2 linked regions of the Schizosaccharomyces pombe genome follow. The protein of the gene in region 1 interacts with the protein of each later gene in a biochemical or structural test. Each region holds a gene or a part of one and is shown in the gene's direction. Other genes may lie near its edges.

Region 1 (4,832 bases):
TCGTTATCGCGAAATTTGTCCAGTAGTTTGCAACAAACCGGCGGGAGTGGAAGATTGTTTGTCCGTCTTATGGAAATCAGAAACTTAACTATTCCTTTGGCATCGGGGATGACCACTAGGTTCACTTATACAATCTCTGGTAAGCACATTCAAGTACCATGGAACGCCTTACACTCTACTACTAAAATTGAAAATGAGTATACTTTTGATGAAAGTATTAGTTCTTCAATTGTATGTACGCTCCGTGCGGCTTACGATCCACCTAAGGTTCGCACTCGTTCTACACTTGGAAAAGTATTTTCAACAAATAAGAGAAAGTCTATGACTACCGACCCCGTTTCAGAAGCACTTCATGGATTTGTTTCTGAAGATGGAACTTTCGGCGAAGTTACCATTAACACTGATTCTGTAAGCCGAACCGCACTAGGCCGTTGTCAATCTATGGTTCTACCAATCATGAACAAATGGACTGTTGATCCGGCAGCTAAAGATGTCAAGCCTCTCCCTCGAAAAGTAGGAGAACTCGAAATCCACGTATTTTTCTTACCAGCGCTTCCTGTCTCTCTGAAAGAACTTCCCGCTTCAATCGAGTCTGCCATGTATGACTTAAAGCTTGCTGAATGGGATAGAACTTTATTGTGTGATGGTTATCTATGTCAACAAGGTGGGGATTGCCCTTATTGGCGTCGTCGCTATTTTCAATTAATAGGATCAAAGTTAGTAGCTTTTCAACAATTCTCTAAAGTTCGCAGAGCAACGATTGATTTGTCTGAAGCCACACATATCGTGGATGACAACCATTATAGTGATGAAGAAGAACTAGAAGGGTATCTGTATTTCGAATCGGGTTTCCGTATCATTTTCAGTAATGGGGACTACATCGATTTTTACGCTGAAACCGTCGGCGAAAAAGATGAGTGGATGTCTACACTTCGTCAGCATTTGGGGCAATGTTCAATGGTTCACAAAAATTGGACCAAATCATTTCTTTCGCTGAGTTTTTAAATTGACCATTTGCTTCGACCTCACTTTTTCTATTTAAATCACATTTGGTCTTTATCTTCTCCTTTATCTATATCGTCTTGCATTTTTCATTGGTTTTGTTGTTTCCCTCGCATAATACATAATGTTCATTTTATCTACCATCGAGAAGCTAGATTCGGTTGAAATGAGCTCGTTTTATATAAGCTGTTAAAAATCGGATAGCAATTACTTACTACTCCCCATGTATATTTATACTTCAGTTGCAAAATACTTCATTTTTGAAAGTTTCCCTTGATCCGAAGAAACGTTGTCAAAATAAGTTGTCTCAAAACGTTTATCTTGGCTTTGTAAATAAATCAAATTCCTTAAAATACTCTAGCTTGGCGTTGTCGAGTGAATTTATTAAGTCGTAAGCTTGCCATTTGAGAAACTTCAAAAAATAAAAATTCCACAATAATTTAATTACATTATTCTGTAAATAATTAATACCGTAATTGCTATATAGTTCAAATACCATTTTTAGCTGTTTCGCAATATCTAAAACGTATATGAGATCACTTTTTTTCATTGTCTAGCGTTTTTGTACTTCAGTTAATAACTGTTTGAATTAATAGTTTCGTTCATATTTTGCTGTCTTTTGAAATTTGGTGGTACTTTACGGTGTTACCCCCAACACTTAATTAAATGCTTAGCGGGGGATACATAGCAACTGAAATAAAGCACGCGGCGTCCGTCACCAACGTTTCACATAATTGAGTTTACAAATTTTCTATATTAAGGTGCCATAAAAAGTATGGTCGCTAAGTATTCAAACTTCGTTGAAATTAAATATTTTATAAAGTCTGTAAATGCGATATAATAAGGACTCAGAATGGAATTAACAAGAGAGAAAGTGTAAGGATACTATTTTTTTTCCTATGAAACTTATACAAACTAATACGTTTATTTTACAGTCTTTTGTTAACATTTTTGCGAATGCAATATTCTCATATACTTCCTGACTCAATCGAAAATCGAGTTATATCTACTGAGGCCCCGGAATGGGAATTGGACAAATCATTGCAAGACTTGTTGATTCATGATTATGATTATTCTAAAACTTCGTTTTCTTCAAGTCCCCCGATTGTCGCTAATGACACTGTATCCAATGTCCGAAAGCCGAGTGATACTAAACAAGTAAATGGTGCTGGGGGTCAAGTTAATCATTCTCGAGCTGAAGATTCTGATTATGCTACTTCTGACTTATCCGAATCTTCAGATGTGGGTGATGACGATAACTCGTGTATATTTTCTTTTAGCAAAGTCCCAATGCAGAAGGATGTTGCAAGTATAAAAGAAGAGGAAAGACTGGACCCCAAAATTTCCACATTAAATAATATTGATGCTATCGCAAATCTTAAGCTTACCAACATGGTAGAATCCTCGCAGGCAGTGAATTTAACCTCGTCCAAACAGTCTTCCATAAACCAGCAAAGCAGTGTTTCTACGGATTATGATGATCTACGGTCGATTTCTGAGGAATCATTTCATTTAAGTCAAGGAGAAATTCCTCTTACTTTTCCAATGAATTCTTCCTTAACTGACACTGAAGCTGATGCAGTTGTTGCGGTTGATGCTCTTTTTCCTGGTAAGCAACGCGGAACACACAATACAGTCAATAAAGCAAGATCTGTTTCGAACGCAAAGGCTCCTACATCTGCTCTTCGTGCATTACTTGAACATAAAGAAAACAGTAGCCAGAATGGGCCATTGGCTGAAAATTTTGCTACTTTTTCTGGACATGCAGAATCAAATGCCCTCCGTTTAAACATTTATTTTCCTTCGAGCGAAAGTCCTTCAAAGCCCTTATTTGTAGAACTCCGAAAGAATGTTTTGGTCTCTGAGGCTATCGGTTATATTTTACTTCAATACGTTAACCAGCAACTCGTGCCCCCAATAGAAGATGAGGCTCAAAATCCGAATTATTGGAATTTACGTATTGTTGAAGATGACGGGGAGCTAGATGAAGATTTTCCCGCTTTGGACCGTGTAGGTCCATTATCAAAATTTGGTTTTGACGCATTTGCTTTAGTTAAAGCCACTCCTGCCCAAATAAAGGAAAATCAAGCTGCCTACCCGTTTAAATCGAAGCATCCAACATCAATTCCTGAAGCCAATAACAAAACGCATATTCGGCATACTAGTTCAACTTCAAGTCAATCACAAAAGCAAGCTCAGGATGTCAAAGATACACTTAATACTTCTCATGTCGTACAGGTACGACTTCCCCCATACGGGGATAATGCTCGATTTTGCAATATTGAAATATCAAAAACTACTAGATTGGCTATGGTGTTGAACCAGGTGTGTTGGATGAAGCAATTGGAGCGATTTAAGTATACTCTGCGAGTTGCTGGATCTGATACTGTTTTACCACTTGATAAAACATTTAGTTCACTAGACGGAAATCCAACTCTAGAACTTGTTAAAAAGAAGGTACGCGATAAAAAAGGAAGTACCCAACAATTGCCAACCTCCTCACCACAAAATTCCGTTTATGGATCTATTAAGAAAGATGCACAATCTTCAACATACAATGCAACAGATATTATGTCGAGCAATACCTATCAAGAATTTCTTGTATGGAAACGACAACCTGTTTCATTTATGGGAAGACATGAGCGTCTACTAGCTATTGATGGAGAATACGTTCACATAATGCCGTCTGAATCCAAAAATATATTTGAAACGCCTAAGACGTCCAGTATACATGCTGGATCGATTATTTTATGCAAGCAGTCTAAAAAATCACCATGTAATTTTAAAATGATTGTGTCCAAGAATAGGGAAACTAAGCGGTAAGAAATTTTTTAACGCTAATAAGCTAACGAGTTCAGGTATGATTTTGAAGTTTTGTCCGCCTTGGAAGCTGCCATTATAGTTAGCAGGATACGTGCACTGATGAATACTGTTAAAAAAATAAATTAACATTTATTTATTACAAAAAGATTCTATGAATACATAGGTATAAACACCTTTGTTTTTTGGTATCACATTGCTCTCTCCCCTATGTCATTTTTATTAAACATCTTCAAAATCAGCTTCATCTTCATCGTCTTCATCGTCCTCATTAAATCCATTAATAATAACATTCTTTTTACTTTCTTGCATTTCCGTATCACCATCAGTAATACCATTTGTAGAAACAATAGGTGGTAATGAATTGTTTTCTTCTATCGATTTTGTTCTTTTATTTTGGATATCACTATCTGAATTTAGGTTCTCGGTTTTACGCTTGACCGACCCATAATCAGTACTTTTGTTTTGAAGAGAGGTAGCCGTCGTAACGTCTAAGAAGTCATCATCCTCCTCATCATCTACGTTTTCACTGTCCATAAACTCGCTTTCCTCTTTTTGCTTTGCACGAAGTGTTGCGTAATAAGCATCTAAGGCGCTCTTTTCAGAAGTAATATCTGTTTTAGTGTCTTGAACCTCATTAACAGTTTCAGTTCTAAAACTATGAAGTGCGGCATCTTTAGCTCCAGCACGAGTAATGGAGCCAGAAATTGTTGATGTTGCATGCCATTCGGGAAGAATGTTTTGAGCAGCTTTGACTTGCTTGTCGCAATTCCTTTCACGCTTTTCATCAGTCTCTTTATCAGCAGAGAAATCAACTGTAATAGATGGCGAAGAGGTGGAAAGACGGACGTCTGAATTACTTTTTGACAAGTTTTGTTGCGACAAATTTTGGGTGTCTAACGAAACAGGAACCGCATGTTCTAAAGCAGATTGGAAATTGTTTTGTGGTACGACAATTTCATCCACCCTTTTCAATGCATCGATTATACCATTAACTTGTCCCATCAGTT
Region 2 (5,277 bases), on another chromosome or scaffold:
TCCCTTCTCTATTCTCTATGTCTCTGTCTTTATATTTTGTGACTATGTGAAATAGCTAACTCAGTATATTTAGCTAATCGTGTTTTGCCCTCAAAAATTCCTTTGACCCCATTTGTTAAGAGGGATGATGATTCTAGTTCAACTCAGGCAAGTTACTCTACTACTGTGAGCGATGTTGTGATTGTCACCGACAAATCTTGGTCGGATGGTGTAGAAACCATTTTGTAAGTCATGCTTGTCATTTTATGGAAACTATTTGTTTGTGTAAAATTACTAATATTATTTTTAGTCCTTATAGTTACACCGAATATCAACCATCTACTACTTACACTTCTGCACCTGCCGGATCCATTGGATACGCAGCATCCATTCCCAATACAGGGCGCGAATTGATGGAGAGTGGGTCCCCTGTCCGGTTTTCCAAGAGTTCATTATTGATTGTTTCACTCTTGAGCATTGCTGCTTTTGCCGCTTTAGTCCTTTAAAAATTCAACCGGAACCTACCCCCTAACATTCACCTGAAAATTTCTCTTTAGGGATTTTCTAAACTTAGATATAGTTTTTGATTCTACTTTACTCTTTTAAAATTTTTGTTGCTACTTACACTGTCAATTCTATATCTGCGCTCGATAACCGGTTTCTTTTTTTAGGCGCTTTGGCAAACTCGTCTCATCCCTTTAAATAAAACACACAAAGGGAGCTCTCTGTGAGAAAATTCAAAACTCTGAAGAAACATCGCTTTTACTAGTGAGGAGCCTTCTAGAAGTAACTACGAAAAGAATTTGCTTTTCTCATGGGTAAGTAAGGGTTTGCCTACAGTTGAGTGAGTCATCAGTTTCAACAAATTTCGTTCTTTTCATAAATTCATTGTTCATGTTTTATTTCTGTTTTATATGTTATTTTATTTTATTTTATTTGAAAATGTTTTTTGTTTTTCAGTTCTCTTTGGATTTATATACACTTTGAAGGACTTGTACGAAGCGTCCAGTGTATTAAAAGTAGAGCATTGGTATACAAATTGCTTTTCCGTTAAATTGCTTTATCTTTTTTTTTCGCTTGTTGCACAAGGAACTGAAATTTTACAAAACGCATCGTACTTGGAAGTTGCAAAAATCTGATGGAAGGCATAAATAAATGACTTGTTTTGTAAAGAGGATATTGCAATCCTAACGGTGGTATTTACATGCTTCTATAATTATTTTAAAACAAATAAAGTTAATTGGTCTGCTAAGCTACACATACGCGTAAACGGCATTTTGCGTTTGTCCGCAGATAATTGTCAAGATAATTATTTGTATTGTTTTGCTATATACTTCGTTTTGTAAATTGATCCATTTGAGTGCTGTTTCTTGACACGTGTAGTATAAATCCTATGTTTCAATTTAGGTCACTACAAACTTGAGCAAGTTACCACTTACAAGAGTACACCAGCACTTTTAATTTCTCTATATTAATATTCCATCTTTTTGACATTACTAAGTTAACTAATTTAATAGCTGATATGTAAAACACCATTGCAAAGAACTTTTATATATAGTGCAATCGTACGAGAAAAGGGTCTATAATTTTTGATCATTATACGACAAACCTGCGTAATGTGCCGACCGTATCGGTAGCTCTCCTTATAATATTTTATCGAACTCACGTTGTTCTGCCGCAAAAAGCTGCTGTCTTGTACCACTTGTATTTTAGGAATACGGATGATCCGAGCTGGCCACATCTACTGACTGCCAATACGACCTAACAAAGGGAATATCAAACGAAAGCATTTTTGACATCAAATTTTATTTCATTGACTTTAACGTATTTAGTGCTGTCGATTGGTTTCAATTTCGTCAAAATTTCCGCGAGGTGAAGGCGACTTTGCTCAAAGTCGTAATACCAAAATCGGCTTAGAAATCGACTTTATCAACGAAGCATTCCTTTAGTAGGGATTTTGGAATAAAAGAGATTGCGATTTATTTTGAATTTTAAAATCAACACCCTTGCTTACTACTTATCGGGATTAGATTTCTTTGACGAATTTACTACTATACTGACATTACCAAACGCCTGTATCCCCTTTCGTTTATTCAAAAAAAATTGCAACTTGTGCTTACTTTTTATTTTATTTTTTTTTTGGATTTGATTTGATTGTTCGTTCGTATTCGCTTACTGGTACACTTCCCGTTTTTGTCTTCGAATTAGTCCATAAATACGTTTTTTGTTAGATTGAAGCTTTTTTGCAGCCTCGTTACCTTATTCTTTATCATTTTCGTTATATTAAAAGAAAAGATAGAGGGAAAGCGAGCTTTTAAAAATCAGTTCATTTTTTTTTTCTACTCCAAACAGACGTTACCGAAATGTCCTGGAAACTTACAAAGAGTATGTATTCCATAATACGGGTTATCACACTCTGTCTTTCTTTTTCATACTAACAGCTTTTCGCTTTTTAGAATTAAAAGAAACTCATCTAGCATCCGCTATTGGCCTGAACTCTGGCGGCTCTAGTTTTACTAGAGGTCTGAAAAACAGTACTTTATCCTCTACTTCTTCTCGTAAATCAAGTGATGAAAAATCTCGGAAAAGCTCGGAGGATAAACGGTCTCCCCAAAGTACCGTCGTGCAGCCTGGTTTATTGCAGGTCACAATTATAGAAGCTAGAAATTTAAAATTACCGTCGGGACATGTTCCTGCCAACTACGGGGTTTCCATTGACAATTCTTTACTTGCCCCTCCACTTAGTAATGGCTCGGGACACGCAAGGTCTCGTAGTCATGCTTGGTGGTTACCTTATATCGTCGTTGAATTCGACAAAAATGAAATCTTAGTAGATGCTCTAAATACTGCAAGCCTTGAAAATCCTTGCTGGGATTATCAGGCAACTTTTGACGTTTCCCGTTATTCCAAACTCTCCCTGAATATTTACCTTCGTTCTTCATCCAGCCGCTCGCGCAACGGTATGGGGAATGACGCTTTCCTAGGCGGGATTAAACTGTCGCCTTCTTTCATTGTAAACAAGCTTACAGACGAATGGGTACCCCTGCATGGGGGTAGCGGTGAACTTCGTGTTCAAATGCTTTACAAACCCAATCAAAGTACCCCTTTAACCATTGATGCATTTGAACTATTGAAAGTGGTTGGCAAAGGCTCTTTTGGAAAAGTCATGCAAGTGCGTAAGCGTGACACTTCTCGTATCTATGCTTTAAAAACTATGAAAAAAGCCCACATTGTATCTCGCAGTGAAGTAGATCACACATTGGCTGAGAGGACAGTACTTGCTCAAGTTAATAACCCTTTTATTGTTCCATTAAAGTTCTCCTTTCAATCTCCCGGTAAGCTGTATCTTGTCCTGGCCTTTGTTAACGGTGGTGAGTTATTTCATCACTTACAAAGAGAAGGCTGTTTTGATACATATCGTGCCAAATTTTACATTGCTGAACTACTTGTTGCTTTGGAATGTTTGCATGAGTTCAACGTTATTTATCGAGACTTAAAACCGGAAAACATATTATTAGACTACACCGGTCATATTGCTTTGTGTGATTTTGGACTTTGTAAGCTAAACATGGCTAAAACCGATAGAACGAATACTTTTTGTGGCACCCCTGAATACCTCGCTCCTGAATTGCTTTTGGGTCATGGTTATACAAAAGTTGTTGACTGGTGGACTTTAGGTGTGCTACTTTACGAAATGATTACAGGACTTCCTCCTTTTTATGATGAAAATATAAACGAAATGTACCGAAAAATTCTTCAAGATCCCTTGCGATTCCCAGACAACATTGACGAGAAAGCAAAAGATTTATTGAGTGGATTGTTGACCCGCGCTCCAGAGAAGCGGCTGGGTAGTGGAGGGGCGCAAGAAATAAAAAATCACCCTTTCTTTGATGATATCGACTGGAAAAAGTTATGCGCCAAGAAGATACAGCCACCCTTTAAACCAAGCGTTGAATCAGCTATCGATACTAGTAATTTTGATTCTGAATTTACATCGGAAATCCCAATGGATAGTGTTGTTGCCGATTCTCACTTATCTGAAACCGTTCAACAAAGGTTTGCCAATTGGAGCTATCAACGACCAACAACCATTGATACATCCGACGACATTAATACAATAGCACCTGGAAGTGTCATTAGGTGATGAATTTGACACTTCTTTGTTTATTTTGAAAGTTTTCTCATTTTTACTCATACATGCCGCTTTTCTTGCCTCTTTTACATATTTGTATGTTATAAAGGCCAAAGCTTCGTTCATTTCTCATTATTGTCATCTTTTTTTGTCGTACAAGATCATTTTCTATTACTATTATTATTATCATTATTATTATTATTATTACTGACAACCTCAAGTCTTTGAAGATTATTTATTTTTTGTCAGCTGAGAAAAAGTCTCAGATATTGTTGGATGTAGTGTTTTTTGTTCTTGTAGTTTCCGAAATTACTAGTGTAGAAAATTGATGGAAAACTCTTTTTAATTATTAAGCATAAGAACGTAACGGCTATTGAAAAGGGAAAAAAAGACGGAGATGTAATTAAAGGTGAAGGGGTAATTAGTAAAATTACATTTCAAAACGTAAAGGTAATAAACAAGAGTAATATGAAAAAGGTAAAAGAAACCAGTACTTTTAGGTTGGAGCGCCAATCCACCGAGCATTATGGAAGAAGTCGTACACCTGTTCGACTTTATTAGCGTCTAAGTGTTTAAATAAATTAACTGCATCGGTTTTTTGAAATGGTTTTTTGGAAGTCAGTGAAGCCGATATTAAGGCAAATTTTAGAGCCAAAAATGGTTTAGGGAAAATCTGCAGTTTTGAGCAAAGCGCTTGCTCATCCTCTGAAAGCAGTTGCCGATCAGCGGAAGCAGAAAACATTGTGGGAGTCGCTGGTTTTCGAGGAACAATCTTTTGAATGTCACGAACTTGAAAAGGAGCGGAAGTGGTTTGGTTAAACGACTTAACATGCCTCAATTGCTTATCATATGAAGCAGAAGCTTTACTTAAGAGGAATTTTTGCGTTTTATCGCGTTCATATTTATGTCCTTGTTCGAGTGTAGTAAGACCCATCTGTCGCCATTCCTGTAAATCAGAAATTTGTTTTTTTAGGGTTATTTGCTCGTGATAGCTGTTCACGAACTTTTGGTAATCAGGGCCCGTCAAAAGTCGAGCAAATGCTTTTGTTTTATTAAGTAAGTTTCGTTCCTCTTTTGACATGCGCTTCTCATTCGCCTGTAGCCGTCGATAATCTAAAAGGTTGTGATTGAAAATGGTTTGTTTACGAACAGCCCGACGAGTAAGA

The links.
Region 2: the proteins of sin1 (region 1) and gad8 form a complex in vitro, tested with the Schizosaccharomyces pombe proteins (one study listed by BioGRID).

What each region holds. Positions count from the first base shown.
Region 1 is NC_003424.3:4,745,312-4,750,143, reverse strand, and holds sin1 (MAP kinase-interacting protein Sin1), read left to right. Parts: upstream 1-1,716; 5' UTR 1,717-1,855; coding exon 1,856-1,878; intron 1,879-1,921; exon of another isoform or gene 1,922-1,937; coding exon 1,938-3,821; exon of another isoform or gene 3,822-3,860; coding exon 3,861-3,951; 3' UTR 3,952-4,044; downstream 4,045-4,832. Other genes in the region: mid2 (septin ring organizing protein), read left to right, coding at 1-1,005; transcription factor TFIIE subunit Tfa1, read right to left, coding at 4,045-4,832. UniProt on the Schizosaccharomyces pombe protein: Component of the mechanistic target of rapamycin complex 2 (mTORC2), which regulates multiple cellular processes to control cell growth in response to environmental signals.
Region 2 is NC_003421.2:910,775-916,051, forward strand, and holds gad8 (serine/threonine protein kinase (AGC family) Gad8), read left to right. Parts: upstream 1-1,725; 5' UTR 1,726-2,342; coding exon 2,343-2,364; intron 2,365-2,435; coding exon 2,436-4,123; 3' UTR 4,124-4,464; downstream 4,465-5,277. Other genes in the region: SPOM_SPCC24B10.06 (uncharacterized protein), read left to right, coding at 74-224, 290-485; SAGA complex subunit Ada2, read right to left, coding at 4,608-5,277. UniProt on the Schizosaccharomyces pombe protein: Involved in a signaling module for sexual development and cell growth under stressed conditions. Required for G1 arrest under nitrogen starvation and for growth at high temperature and osmolarity.